Linked DNA regions of Lepisosteus oculatus. The protein of the gene in region 1 binds, or shares a complex with, the protein of each later gene. Links are inferred from orthologs where the notes say so. Each region holds a gene or a part of one and is shown on either strand. Other genes may lie near its edges.

What was found.
Region 2: the proteins of arl1 (region 1) and arfip2b are in contact, whole or in part, in a crystal structure (PDB 4DCN), measured with the Homo sapiens proteins. The link is inferred for Lepisosteus oculatus from reciprocal best matches to the Homo sapiens genes ARL1 and ARFIP2. Residues at the interface, in NP_001168.1 of Homo sapiens: Glu17, Arg19, Gln38, Ile46, Ile49, Gly50, Phe51, Asn52, Val53, Glu54, Thr55, Gln64, Trp66, Ile74, Tyr77, Cys80, Tyr81; in NP_001363487.1 of Homo sapiens: Phe205, Thr212, Lys216, Thr217, Asp220, Asp278, Ile281, Lys282, Phe285, Leu286, Glu288, Asn289, Lys292.

What each region holds. Positions count from the first base shown.
Region 1 is NC_090702.1:54,564,279-54,572,013, reverse strand, and holds the start of arl1 (ADP-ribosylation factor-like protein 1), read left to right. Parts: upstream 1-4,545; 5' UTR 4,546-4,649; coding exon 4,650-4,653; intron 4,654-5,791; coding exon 5,792-5,929; intron 5,930-6,621; coding exon 6,622-6,703; intron 6,704-7,343; coding exon 7,344-7,455; intron 7,456-7,735. UniProt on the Homo sapiens protein: GTP-binding protein that recruits several effectors, such as golgins, arfaptins and Arf-GEFs to the trans-Golgi network, and modulates their functions at the Golgi complex.
Region 2 is NC_090700.1:16,365,475-16,372,562, forward strand, and holds the start of arfip2b (arfaptin-2b), read right to left. Parts: upstream 3,202-7,088; 5' UTR 2,966-3,201; intron 1-2,965. UniProt on the Homo sapiens protein: Plays a role in constitutive metalloproteinase (MMP) secretion from the trans Golgi network. May have important functions during vesicle biogenesis at certain cargo subdomains, which could be predominantly utilized by secreted MMPs, such as MMP7 and MMP2.

The DNA.
Region 1 (7,735 bases):
AAAGGAATCCAACAGCAATACCAAAAGGAAACACAGAAGTGTTTATCTATGAATCAAATCTTTTTTTAATTCCTTATTACCTACGTGCACAACCATAACAAAGATAGAAATCAGATGAGTCTGATTTTATGATAAAGTATTGTAGCACTTTCAGGTTCACATGGGTATGTGCCCTCACTGCTGCCATCTCAGGTCAGCCCTCCACCACTGGGGGCTTGAACCCGGGACCCCGGCATCACTCAATAGGGACCCAGCCAGCTGAGCTAAAGGTAGATCTCCCCTCAGCCTGGCAGCTGCGGTCCCTGCTATTCACAGGGAAAGGCGGTGCATCACCGCGCTGGTAAGCCAGCTCGCACAACCTAATGTTGCCCGTATGTGTTACAATACTGTATGTATTCAATTCAGTGTTCTATCCAGTAATATTAATACAAAGAGGGAAGACCATGTCTTCAGGGATGATGTTAAAGACCATATTGTTTGGCATGTTGGAGCCAGAAATGTTTGGATTAATCAAAACAGAAAAGCATTGTGAAAGTACTCCAAAATGTGTTTCAGTTGTACAGACAGAACATCATTTCTTGATGCAAAAAAACATCCCTAGGCGTAATTTGTTTGCTATAGATATGTTCCCAAAAAGGAATTAAAAAAGCCATTTGATTCAAATAGCTTAGGCAAAATCTATAGATATATTTGGCCTTGAGCTGGGAAGCTTTTAGATTCTTTGGGTCCTTTATTGCAGACTCTCAACTGGAGGATTTGTGTAGGAGCATGAATAAATTAAATAATAATAAATCATTATTTAAAAGATTTTAAAAACTATAGCTTTAATAAAAATGTGAGAGTATCTTCATGCATTCCTCTTCATAGTACTTTACACTTAGTTTAAACTACTGAGTGAGCTAGGTTTCATACAGACAGCAAGGGGCAGTTCTTGTCACGATTGTGATCCCTCCTCTTAAGGGCGCTCCGGTTCTTTCTTATTTTGCTAATTACGAGCACCTGCCCCCAATCCTGCCCCTCCATATTTAATCCTGGTGCTCTCGCGCCTCAAATGTTATTGTGGGTGGCTCTTGTAAAAAAAAAGCCTCATGAAACATGTATTTCAACATTTTATGCATTTAAGAAGTTGAGCTCGGCAATTAGCTTTCATCTATAAAATTTAAATAGAAAACTTGCTTTCTGTTTTAAAATGCGCATTTGAAAAATTATTGGATTTGGCACTGGGGAACTACAATCAATGAAACAGTTTCTTCCTCAGTAACAGTTCAAAATAGCCTCAGGGAAAACAGTAATTCTTTAAAATAACTGTTCACAAATTTTGTTTCCCTGTTGGTACTGTAGGTTTGCTCTTTGGATGGCAAGCATAACTTATTCTCAGAAAATTCAGAAGAGGAGCTAAGGAGAATTGTTTTGTGTGTGTTCAGATTCTTCTCCACTGCTGTGGGAAACATGAACCAGAGGACACAAGCGACAACTGTGTGGAAGTGTAGTCAATACTGAGAGCACTCCTTTACCCTAAGTGTTGTGGGAGTGTGGAGCAAGCTACCCAACTTTGTTATTGAAGCAGGTACCGTGGCTTCTCTCAACAAATAGCTGAATGAGATCTTTGGATCTTATTCAATACAAACTACCAGACAGGACAGCCGGGCTTGATGGCCTTTACTTATTTGTAAGCTCTCTTAGGTTCTTATGTTCTGTGTAAACATGAATCTCTTCAAATCTGTCACAGGAGGAGAGAGAATGAACACTAAGAAGAGCACAGTGAGCGTGTTTAAAATCATGTTTTGAGACCAAAGCATAAGCAGTTCACATTTGTATTTTAGAATTGAATACCCAATAACAAATAAACCTAAAATTAAGGTTCCAATATTCTTGCTGTAACTCTTTAGGGCAGTGTATGTTTTTTTTTAAGTTAAAGGCCATATATGTATTAATATTCATAAATCAAAATCTTTGAAAACTGTTACAACATTTGACGAAAGCAATAATAAAAAGGATTCACCCGGCTACTGACATTGTGATAAGTAAAAATAATTGAGGACAAAATATAACTTCTTCTGAACTTCTAGCAGTATGAAGCAATATTTGTGCTCACATCAGTATCGACAAGTTTTGTGAAAAAATATCCATCCATTTTTTGACTGTTTTATCCTGTACAGAGTCACGGGGGAGCCAGAGCCTGTCCTGGCAAGCAGTGGGCACGAGGCAGGGTACACCCTGGACAGAATGCCAGTCCATCACAGGACACACACTCTCACACACCCTGGACAGGTCACCAGTCCATCGCGGGACACACACACACTCACACACCCTGGATAAGACGCCAGTCCATTGCGGGACACACACACTCACACACCCTGGACAAGACGCCAGTCCATCGCGGGACACACATATACAGTGTAAGAAAACTGAAATAAAAAAAAGATGGTTATAATCATTTTGGTAGTCTGGTGAATACCTAAAAAATAAAGGGTAACAGATCATCTACAGAATTGTCAGTACTGATTGTGTTCAATCAGCATGAAAAGTGTGAGATGGTTGCTTTTCTTTAAATATTATACTGTATAAAATACAGTTCATTATTATTACTCATTAATATAAAACTGTAATGTTTTGGACTGCTTGTTTGTTCACAAGATTACAGAACAAAAGATAAAATAATCTATATTTTTCCTATCTCGATTTGTCTTTATTAACATTTTTCCCCAACAATATCATTTTCACACATGGACACATCTGGCACATGTCAAGCGATTTTCATCTTTCATGCCTCAGTCTTCTCTTTCCAGTTCAAGAGGCACCAGGCTGACTGCTGACTTTCTCACAAACCATCGCTCTGAATCTCTAGTCTGTGAGAGCAGAGCGTGTGGACAGCAACCTCAAGGCTGAAACTGTAATGTGAAGAATTTACAACTTTAAAAGGAAATGTAAAATATATGTCTTACCTTCACAACTAGCCCTTAAACCCCAAAAAAGAAAATAAAACAGATGAATCCTCTCATTTCACAAGGACTGTGATAGAGTGTAAGTGTTATGTAGCTGAATAGGTATCAATTTTCCTTTATACAGCTGAAATGAGGAAAGCATGCAGAACTTGATCTTTTTTAATCAAATGTCCACTGTGGGAAGTTATTGTATATAAAAGGTACTTGATGCTTCCTTAGGAACATACTGTAAGTTTAAGGAAAGGTACTGTAACTGCTGAAACCATGTAGTTAGTAAAATTCAAAATCTCTGAGACCATAATAATAATAATAATAATAATAATAATAATAATAATAATAATAATAATAATAATAATAATAATAATTATTAATAATAATAATAATAATAATAACAGCCTGACTATTGTGTAGTGTAACTCCATTCTGACCAAACATTAGTAACAATATCTGAAGAAAGTTTCCAACAGGAAAGTTTTCTTCTGTGACTCACAGAGAAGCCTTGTCAGTCTGCAAATACCACCACACAAAGGATGTCTAATGTAGTTTGAGTGATATGGTTTGGTTATGAAGGACAAATTATTGTACCAAAAATACCTCATTACCTGAAAAGCGCTATATAAGTGTATGGAATTATTATTTGTCTAATAAATACAGTATATATGTTCATGTAATAATATAGAATATACTGTATACAGTACGTGACAAATACATGATTTATGAGTTTTGCTTTTAGAAGAAGTTGAAATGTAGTGCACAAGTAATAATAACAGAAAAGCATATTTGTATTTAGTACAGAAGGTTAAATGATTTAAAAGTAACGTTAGATGCCACAGATCACAGACATCACTGAAATGGGGAAAAGTAACTAGAATAACAAGAAGAAAAAATCAGAGATGGACAACAGAACTGGATGAGTGGTTTCTCATTTATTTTTAGGTCATTTTTAATTTTTAATAGATTTTTACCAATAATTTCTAAGTTGTAGTTCAACATGTTTAAATTTATTAAGTCAATTTAGCTTGCAGGAGTTGAACTGCTACTTAATTCTAGTTGATGAAATGCTATATCATACCAGACATGGCATTGTACAAACGAGGATATTTCTACAAAGTCTACTTTGTACAAAAATATGTGCTGTGGATATCTGAAAACGCTGTTTTCTTATATATTTAATCAACAAGATTAGATACACCCAGTAAGACTGTGTCGAACTGAACAGTATGATTTCAAATAAGTGAAAATATGTGCACAAAATGTAACTTTACTGTAGCAAAATTGTAAAAGGACTTTGTTTAAATACAAGCAGGTGCGGTACTTCTGATACTTATTTCTGGTTGCATGGTCTTGATCACGTGTCCGAGGTACTTGTCATTTTGCCATGCGTTTACGGAAGTGAGTGTAAACCTTACAATGAGCAGCACTTTCCTTCAAATATCTTTCAATAATACAAAAAAAAATACACACGCCTATGCATAGTCAGAAACATAATAACTAAGGAATACAACTTGCGTCTACCGTAGAGTATTTAAACCTGTTTTAAGAACATCGTATTTTGAGGAACAGGTTCATGCATTTGTCGAATCTGGTCTCCTTAAGCGTTAGATAGCTGTGTTGCAGGTCAGTGACACGTCACTGTCTGCAGGGCACTGCTGGACAGGAGCATCACAACAGCAGCTGGAAATACAAACCTACAGCAAACAAGACATGGGTAAGCTGTCAGATAACTCTCCAATCGCAAATTGAAACGGGATGCGTGCAGTAAGGTTAGATCCACCGAATGAACGTTGTGCCGAGTAACGGATGTGTGCGTTTTTCAGTTACCAGGAAACGAAATGGTCGACTGCTGATCGATTCATATTCAGTGAGGGTTAGTCTGTTGCTTGGGAAGGGCCACTTAAAATCGTTACTCCTTCGACAGGTTCAGAAGAATGCGGCGGTTCCTGGGGTCTGTGGGTCAAATTAGTTTTCAGGTGTAAGGATAGGACTGACACTGTACCGTAGTATTAACACCAGATGCACGTTGGTTACTCCTACAGGTTTTGATATATGAGTAAGGTAGATTAAAGCAGTAAATAAACAGATAGATACTTTATTGATCCCGTGAGGGAAATTGCAGTGCAACAGCAGCTTTACTTTAAGCTGTTTAAACGTTCTTATTTCTAAGTTCAAATAAATGATTTAAAAAACAGTAGCAAAACAGCTGATGAGGCACCTACATAGTTCATCCTAGAGACGATTTTGTATTGTTTCGTGTTGTAATGGTAAATTTAAGAGCGTCTAAAAACATTTTGTTATTGTAGAAATACAATATCTGTAATTGTTTCGGATTAATGCCGATTTGTACGTGATTAAAAAGATTAGCAGAGATCACGATATGTTTTTTTTTTTACTGAAAGGATCTCTTAGAAGACTAGGAAACTATGGCTGACTGTGTGGGACTAATATTTGTATTACAGTTTACTGAAAATGTGGGTGTTGACTGTGAGTTAATACCGAAATCGTTGTCAGACGGAACAACCTCCATCCTTGCAAATGAAGCTGATTGTCAAGTGTTGGACTAGTGGGGAAAACGATGAGAAAATCTGATTTGTGTGTGTTATCCTAAAACTCGCCTTCTCTGGACAGTCTTCCCTTATTGTTGTCTGAGAGGCGGTTGTTTTGTTTTTGTGGAGTGGAAAATAAAAAAACTCAGGAGCTGAAATCCGCCTCAGGTGGGGGGGGGAACAGATCTGAAAATACACTGTGCTGCCCAAAGAAAACAAATGGTGCTGAGAGGAGCATGTGGTGATTGATTTCCTTTCAACATTAATCAACCTGATCGATTTCCTCTCTCCCTCTTGCTGAAGGTGGCTTCTTCTCCAGCCTGTTTTCCAGCCTGTTTGGGACCAGGGAGATGAGGATCTTGATCCTGGGGCTGGACGGAGCTGGGAAGACGACTATCCTGTACAGGCTGCAAGTGGGAGAGGTGGTGACAACGATTCCCAGTGAGTAGCCGAGCCGCCTGTCTGCTTGTTGTGCCTCGGAGGAAAGGTTTACTGCAGTCCGAGGAAGATTGCAGTGTCATGGGGCTCCTGGCACAGTAGCAGCCACACAAGCTTTTCCTCATCACCGTACACACACTGTATAGTCAGTGTTAGTTTCTGCCCATTCAGTTTCAGAATGAACAATTTTGTTCACTAGATCATGCCATGCACACAAATATACAGTTATACAAATGATCAGAGCAGTGGAACAAGTAATAGGTTTATTCCCTGCTGAAAAGAGAAGAAAGAAAACACAACGTTTCTTGAAGCTCTTCAGGCTTCTTATCTATTACAAATCATCTGCTATTTGTGATAGATAAGAGCTAAGATAAGATCACTTTATTGGCCATATGCAGTATCTTGCATTAGGAATTAGCTTGCTCTACATGAGACACACAGACAGGGAGAGAAGCTTGGGGTCAGAGCGCAGGGTCAGCCATTTATACGGCGCCCCTGGAGCAGTTGGGGTAAAGGGCCTCGCTCAGGGGCCCAATGGAGTAGGATTCCTCTGCCGGCTTTGGGATTTGAACCAGCAACCTTCCAGCCACAGGCGCAGATCCTGAGCCGCTCCGCCCCGGTGTTAATAGCTTTGTTCTGCCTGTCTGCGCAGCTGAAATAACTGCACATTTTTGATTCAATTTTTCTTTTACTAGCTATTGGTTTCAATGTCGAAACAGTAACGTATAAGAACCTTAAATTCCAAGTCTGGGACCTTGGAGGACAGACAAGTATAAGGTAAGTTACTTTTGATTTTGGCACCCGTACAGGAGAAAGAAAATGCTCATTCTATGTTAGGCATCACCTACAATCTTGGAGATTAATGTTTTTAAACTTGTGGAAGATGCTGAGGGGACATGTATTGTACAAATTAAAGACTTAAAACCACTCCTCGATGTACAGCATATTCATATAAAAATTCACGTGGGTAGCTGCATCAGCATGCGTAGGCTGCAAAGGAACAAGTAATAGGTTTATTCCATGCTGAAAAAAAGAAGAAAGAGAACATAACGTTTCGGCCGTGGAGCCTTCTTCAGGTGTCTTCCTCAGGCTCCACGGCCGAAACGTTGTGTTCTCTTTCTTCTTTTTTTCAGCATGGAATAAACCTATTACTTGTTCGTATAAAAATGTTCATCATACATTTTTGAATTTTACATGGAAAGTGTATTAGTTGTGTGAGAGCGGGAGTTCTCAAAATGCAATCAACAGTCGCAGGCATGCAAAAGAGAGGTTTTGGAGAGACAGAAGTCTTCTGCTGACTGTGTCTTACAACAAAGTCCACCACAGGTCACTGTAATGAGTTTTTTCTCCAGCAGAATGGCTTGAATTGGGTGGATTTGGTGTTTACTCATTCTTGTTGGCTGTCATCTGTCCTCAGACCGTACTGGCGCTGTTACTACTCCAACACGGATGCAGTGATTTATGTAGTCGACAGCAGCGACCGGGACAGAATGGGAATTTCCAAATCGGAGCTCGTGGCCATGTTGGAGGTATGGAAAGCAGTGGGAAAAAATCATGAGGTCATTCTCAAACTGAGCTCTTTCACTGTTGGTTTCCTTCCGATGTTTTTTCATTGTTTGTTCCACAGAGATGTCGTCTTAATTTGCTTTTGGTATTGGCCACAAAATCTTCTGCCTCAGGTTTCCCAGGCACCTGTCCGCAGCTGGAGAGCAGTTCCTGTCTTAATGCCTTTCTGTCCTTGGCTTCTTATCCTCCAGCATTTTCTAAGCCCTTTATCCAGGACAGGGTCGCAGGGGAGCTGGAGTGCGA
Region 2 (7,088 bases), on another chromosome or scaffold:
CCATCAGATTTCCACCCATAACGGCCTGTCTCACCGCCTTCTCTTCCAGGATGCACTCTCATTAAATTAAACCCAACCTCTCAAAGTCTAACCTTTATTTTCACTTCCTCCCAAACCACAGACCTCTCCATCACTTTCCCACCTCCTTCCCCTCCGTGTCACTCTTGAACCTCTCATTAGTGTTACTCTTGTAACACTTGAAATCCCCCAGCAGTTTTAAAGTTCTCAAAGATCTGAAGATTCCCCTGTAGATTCACAGACCTATGACATACATATTACATTATGTGCTGGAGGTTTAAAATAAAGTTGCCTGAGTCTGTGATCTTTGAAATCGCCTGCTCAACACATCAGGAGACATAGGAGGTTGCTGCAAGAGGGTCACTGACTCCTCTTACACCAGCAAATTTAAACTCCCATTCATTTTACCTCTAGGTAACCCCACCCCCACCCCCTACACTCATTTCTCATGAAGCACTAATAATGATTAAATACTGGGCACAAAGAAGTCTTTAAGTGACCTGATCAATGAAGAGTGACAATGTACCCCAGCAGGTTTGTGCCTTCAGTTCTCAAATATGAAACACCACAAGGCACAACTGCCTGAAGCAAAACTGTAACTACTGTAAACCTATCGTTGTGCTTTTACTTGCAAATGTTAGTGTCAAACAAACAACTAGGCGCTGTATCCTGAATTCAACATGAACGAACCTACAGTATGTAGTTATAACTTACAGTATGACGAAAAAGTACACCCCTTAAAATGTCATGGTTTAACATATTTAGACATACAGTATATGACCTTCATATAGGTCTAAGTCCTAACATAGATAGAACTATAAAAATATTATTATTATTAACTATTATAGTTATATTCTTTTTTAATATGAAAAACATCACAAAAACACTTATGTTTCTATTTAGTATTAGGCAGGAAACTTGGAAAAATAAATAAGGTCAAAGTTGATATAATCAAATAACTGGCAACTTGTGACAGTAAATGCTTTCAACTATAATGGTTGTTCAGTGTTTCAAATACCTAGGAACAGTAATAGATGAACATTTAAACTTTGTATTAAATACTAATTGCATTTTTAAGAAATTGAAAGGGTTTTAGTTGAGTCAAAATGTTTTAGAGAGGATTTATAAAATGTTAGTAGAAAGCATCCTTACTTTTGTTATCACAGTGTGGTATGGCAGCCTGAGCATTAAGAGTAAAGAGAAACTGGACAGAATTGTTAATATTGCTAGTAAAATAACTGGTCAACCACAGAAACAGTTTTAAGAGCTTTATTATACTGCTGTTCAAAGGAAAGTTCAGCTAATCATTGATGACCCCTCCCATCCTCTTTATTCCATTTCCAACTGCTACCTTCAGGAAGGTGTTTTAGAGTGCCTATGGCCAAGTAAAAATGTATAATGTATAGCCACAGTAGTTTCAAATTAACACACAGTGGTGTGGATCTGAGAAATGTGCTCTGAGAAAAAGTTTCAATAAACAAGTACAAAATAAGCCTACACTGACCAGAGTGGGTTATGTACAGTAAGTATTCAAATCACTGAAGGAAAGAGAAATCAAAGACATTGATAACTGCTGAAGAAGGAGAAAACGGGCAGGTACTGTATGAATACTGCATAGGTAAGCAAGTCAAAAGTATAAATTCACCTTCAATCACTAGATGGGTATGAATTTATACTGTATCATTTCAGTGGTACCATCAACACAAAAAAAATCCAGTTTGGGACTTTATAGTCACTTAATTCACCGGCGTCACCGTCAAAACCGGTCTTCGGGCAGCAAATGTAACATGCAAAGCCATCCCAGTTGAAGGCCACATCACCACATAATTACCAGTGCTTTTGGTAAGTCTCTATACAGGAAACGCAAACACACTTCACGTACACTGTATAAACTACCTGGTTCATAGAACATGAGATACGAAAATTAATAAGCTTGGTTATAATATATAACTTATATCAACAAGCGCCGCCCGATCTGTGCAGCACATGGTGTCCTAATTTTTCAGGTGCAACTAGCAACCTCTCAGGACTGACTAAATTATTTCAACAGATAACTTGCAGTGCAAGCACGAAGAAGGAGTTTCTCACACTGTCAACACCAAAAACGCCAACACACCAACGCCACAAAAGCACAACAGGCCTCGGACGACAGCCACTCAATAGGCAGGCGCACATTTGTAACTCGACACGAGATGCGAGTGACCGGTGAAATTCAAGAATTCAACAAGCCTTCAAAGTATAGTGCTTGTTTTACCAGCATTATGCATTCTAAGTGCTATCAAGTCTGAGCTAATAAAAAGAAAACGCTTGTGCATACAAGAAATACCTAAGTCCTTTGTGCTCTGAAACAGCTGTCACTCGTCGATTTGTTTTTCGATGCGAAATTAGTATATATTTGCACAACAAGAACGCTTTGTCCGTTGTCACCTTGCTCAGCGGATACCACGGCTCCAGTAAGTGCAACTGCAGGTGGATAACAGAAACAAAACCGAGCCGGGCGTGAAAAAATCATGTAGCAACCATGGTACCTTGCGATTTAAATCCACCATACAGTTTCTCTCAATGAAGCATTAAACAGAGCTGTACAGTTACAGGGAATTTAACGTAACGGACGAGCGCCCAGTGCCGTCCTACATATGCATACTGCAGCGCAAAGGAGACAAAATATGTGAATTTTGTTCTGGGAACTCAACCTGAATTCATGTCTTTCTGCTACCACAACGATCCAGTTTAACTAGGGTCACAATTCCAGGTTTCGGTGTCAGTCTGGAGAGGCCCACAAAAAAAGCCGATGTGCAAGTAGCACCTTTATATGTGCAATACCTTTATATGTTACTGCAACCTCTTTAATGTGTCAAATCGTCCAAGACCTGCATTGCCAACATGCTCAGTGCAGCTTGTAAAAAATCAGATGAGCTATATATATATAAAGTAATGCTATTCTTACCAGTGTGTGAATCCGTCTTCTGAATTAGACGGCAAGCTGGTGGAAGCCAATTGTTTCCGGCTGTTTTCCTCAACGCGGCGATAATAGAAAAGGTACAAAAGTACCTGTTAATAATTAGTATCTTGTTATATATTGTTTTATTGCATGACTGGCCAGCTGCCCCCCCCTCTCCACCTCCGACTTCTTGTTGCTGTTATTCGCCCCCCTTCTGCCTGAAGACACCGAGCGGAACTGACGACACCAGCCGACCTGATTCCATTCACCCCTCCCTCACGGAGGAATATTGACAGCGTGGAAGAACCACAGCTCTCGCGAGGCTGCGGGCTCGCTCCTCGAAGCAAGTTGGCTGCCATGTTGGTGAAGGATGCATAGTAATATAATCTACATTAAAGCAACGCATAACGCTAATTTAGAAACATAATTTCAATAACTGCTTATCCAAATCAGGGTCACGGACGTTCTTTATAAAGTAAAAAAAAATAACTTATTTTTTTTTCTTGTGCATGTCGAAAATTATTCTTTTGTTAATGTTTTGACGGATTTTAAAATTCAACTAAAAAAAAGATCTGAATAAAAACAAGTTAGGGGCACATTATGTGCTTTAAACGAGTATAATATTTAAAGACTCAAGCACAATGGTATTTTGAAAATGTAGTCTATAAACATGCAAAAGCTGGCATTTCATTGATAACACTTAGAAATAAAGCATTCAAGTTTCTTAAGTGTTTTATCCTCTGCATTGTTCATCTTATTGACGTCTTTAACATTAACACAAATTCGGGTGATATAAATGAAATGAACAGAGGTGCGGGAGCGCAATTGTTATTTATCTGCTTGTGGTTGTTCTGCTATTTCTGTTTTACCGGCCACTTCAGCCTTTAAAAAATTAACCAGACTGTAAACTCGTTTTAAATACTGTATCTTGGACCATTCCTTTCAATAAAATCATTCTTAATGGGGTGAACAATTAATAATATACCCACATAAGTGGAAATGGGAAATAAAAAACACTCCCACGATGTGTATTTGATTTTTGTTCTTTCGCCTAACTCCAATAAGTTAAATTTCAGTTAACACATGGTGTCAAGTTCATTTCCTGATTTCTTAGTCCTAGTGTTTTCGTTCTCCCTACGTTCTCGGGCATATACGTGGTCTAATTACAGTACATGTAATGAAATTCTGAGGTTCAAAACTCCCTTGATTCAGATATGCGAGATCAGGGCTCTTAAATTCCAGTTTCTGGAGGGTCTTGTGCCTTCTAGTTGACCCTAGTAGTCAATTAACCTATTAACAATGTACCCGGTTTCTAAATTAGACACACGTGATATTGTTCTTAAGGTCATTATAGTTAATTATATTACATTCGCTTCAGTATATTTACCTTGAAAACGTAGAGAGCATGGTTAGAAGTATGATTATGCAGATGTCAAATCAACGTACTAATTAAAATCCCAATCAGAAGTTAAAAGCAATCTAAATAAATATAACTTAAAAATCCAAATTAAGGCTGTGGTTAGGAACTTAGCTAGAACAAAAACCAGCACACATCAAAGAGGTCCCCTGGGAACAGGAGCTTCGTTATTACTTCAGATGCGTAATTTTGTATTAGCTTACGGCCAGCAGGTGTCACTACAATTCAAGAATTGAGAAATGTTCAGATTTTGGAGAACTGGATTGTTAAATCTAACCCATTACCCAGTTTCTTTACGTGATAAATTTGCGATTGTGCTGACTGCTAATGCAGATCTACATCTACAGGTAACTGTACCACAGAGTGGTACAACACAAGGCCATCCTGTTCCATATGATAGTGGTTTTGTTAGAAGAACCTTGCTTGGGGTTTTTTGACAAAACTGTCAGCGTTGATGTGATCAATTCATTAAGTTACTGATAGTTTGTGCACGGCGACACACCAAATTCCATGCACATACAGTACGCACAAATCTGGCCACGCTGTTGTAGTAGCAACATTGGTATTGCCTAAAGAACATTAAAGGAAATGCAAATCTTCTCCAACATGATACTGAATTAAAATGTTAAAGCATATTCTTGGGTGAAAAATAATTATTCTAGAATATTTTTTTAGTAAGCAGCCATATCACCCTGCAACTCACAACTGGCAACGCACTGAAACTAAGCAGGTGTGAGCCTGGTCGGTACCTTGATGGGAGACCTCCTGGGAACAACTAGTGGGGCAAGTAGGGGGTGCTCACCATGTGGTCTATGTGAGTCCTAATGCCTCAGTATAGTGACGGATACTACTGTACTTTGTAAACAGGCGCCGTCCTTCAGATGAGATGTAAAACTGAGGTCCTGACTCTCTGTGGTCATTAAAAATCCCAGGGTGTTTCTCTAAAAGAGTAGGGGTGTAACCCTGGTGTCCTGGCTAAATTTCCCATTGGCCCTTACCAATCATGGCCTCCTAATAATCCCCATCTTTGAATTGACTTGATTACTCTGTGCTCCTCCCCACTGATAGCTGATGTGTGGTGAGCATTCTGGCGCACTATGGCTGCCGTTGCATCATCCAGGTGAGGGGGATACACATTGGTGGTGGTGGAGGGGAGTCCTCATTACCTGTAAAGCACTTTGAGTGCAGTGTCCAGAAAAGCGCTATATAAGTGTAAGCAATTATTAAGTATTATTATGGAATATATATTTTTCAATTATTTACTTTACAGTATGGTGGACTGTAAAGAAAAGAAGAAAAGAAACCTTCATACAATGTCTTCTGAGCATATACTGTACAGTATCCTGCAGTTTCTGGACATTAACTTACCTACTAAATTTCGCTCTAACATCAGTATGATATGAAAGTTGAAGTGATTTGCTTGGGCTGTATGGTGGGTAGTCTGACACAGGGTGGAAAGGTGCAGTGTATGAAGTACTGTATGAAGATAAAGAGTGTTCACCAACGTTCTCTGATATCATCCCAACACACTCCAGATTGACTATGCTGATGCTATAATATTGTAATTTTCATAGTGTCAGTTATTTACTAGTCTTCAGGAAAATGTTGAGAGATTTTTTACGCTTCTGTATTTTATCACTAGTAAAAATGTCCAAAAATCTTGATGTAAGCAAGTTCATTATTATGAACAGTTGATTAAGACTTCCTGGAGTCTCTTTTGCTTAGGTATTTTTGACTGTATTCTCCAAAAGAAGTTCCAAATTTTGGAATATCACTGTTGTAAATCTTTTCTAAATAGTAAAGGATATTTTAATGTTAATGTTTCTGTTTTTTTTTGCTATATTCTGTAAGATTAAAGTGTCCTTGAATAATAGAACACACAATCTTAATTTAAGATCACAATGACATTTCTTTAAAAACAATAAGGAATAGGGATGTTGTTTTTTTACTTTTCATCAAATGAGATCCTTATTTGTATTTTTCCACATTTATGCCTTTGCTGCTTAACTATCCCCCCAAATTATTCACTTTTTAGTCTCTCAAAAATGTTTTTAGATAAAGGGCTGTAGCTGTAAAACAGAATGGGATTCGATTAAGATCGTACTAGAGTTTATTATTGTTATTATTAAACCCATATCAAATGTATTCTTGTTCTAAAGTTTTTGCAAGTTTCATTTTTAGATTTGATACAGTACCAGATTATTAAATCTATCAAAACATTATGAAATCACTCAGATAACTGGTGTTGATAAGGTTCTATAGTGGGACCAAAAATAGGTAATTAAATACAGTATAAATACTATGCATTACAAACTATCATTTTTTTATTGAAAAGCAGCTGGTAGAATCAGTTTTCATGCCAATTAAGGGAAGAAAAGCTTAATCAGTCTAGATCAAAATAATGTAATCAAATAATCTAATCTTGTAGTCTCTAGTCTCTATTATTTGTTCTTGAATTATATTTGAAGAGGGAAATAGATGTGTGGACTGATGCATTAAACAGAATGAGATGGTGAGGTGAGACTATAAGTACAGTAATTGTTTTTGTCAGGCCAAATCCTTTATTTTTAAGTATTTTTCAGTGAAGTTTTTTTAAGCTTAAATGAAAATAAAATTCAAATTGGTTCCCCCCAGACAACAGATATTTTAAAATGTCACTATGTTTTATGACTGTGTAGCTTAAAAGGTATCAGTGGCACTTATTTCTAATCT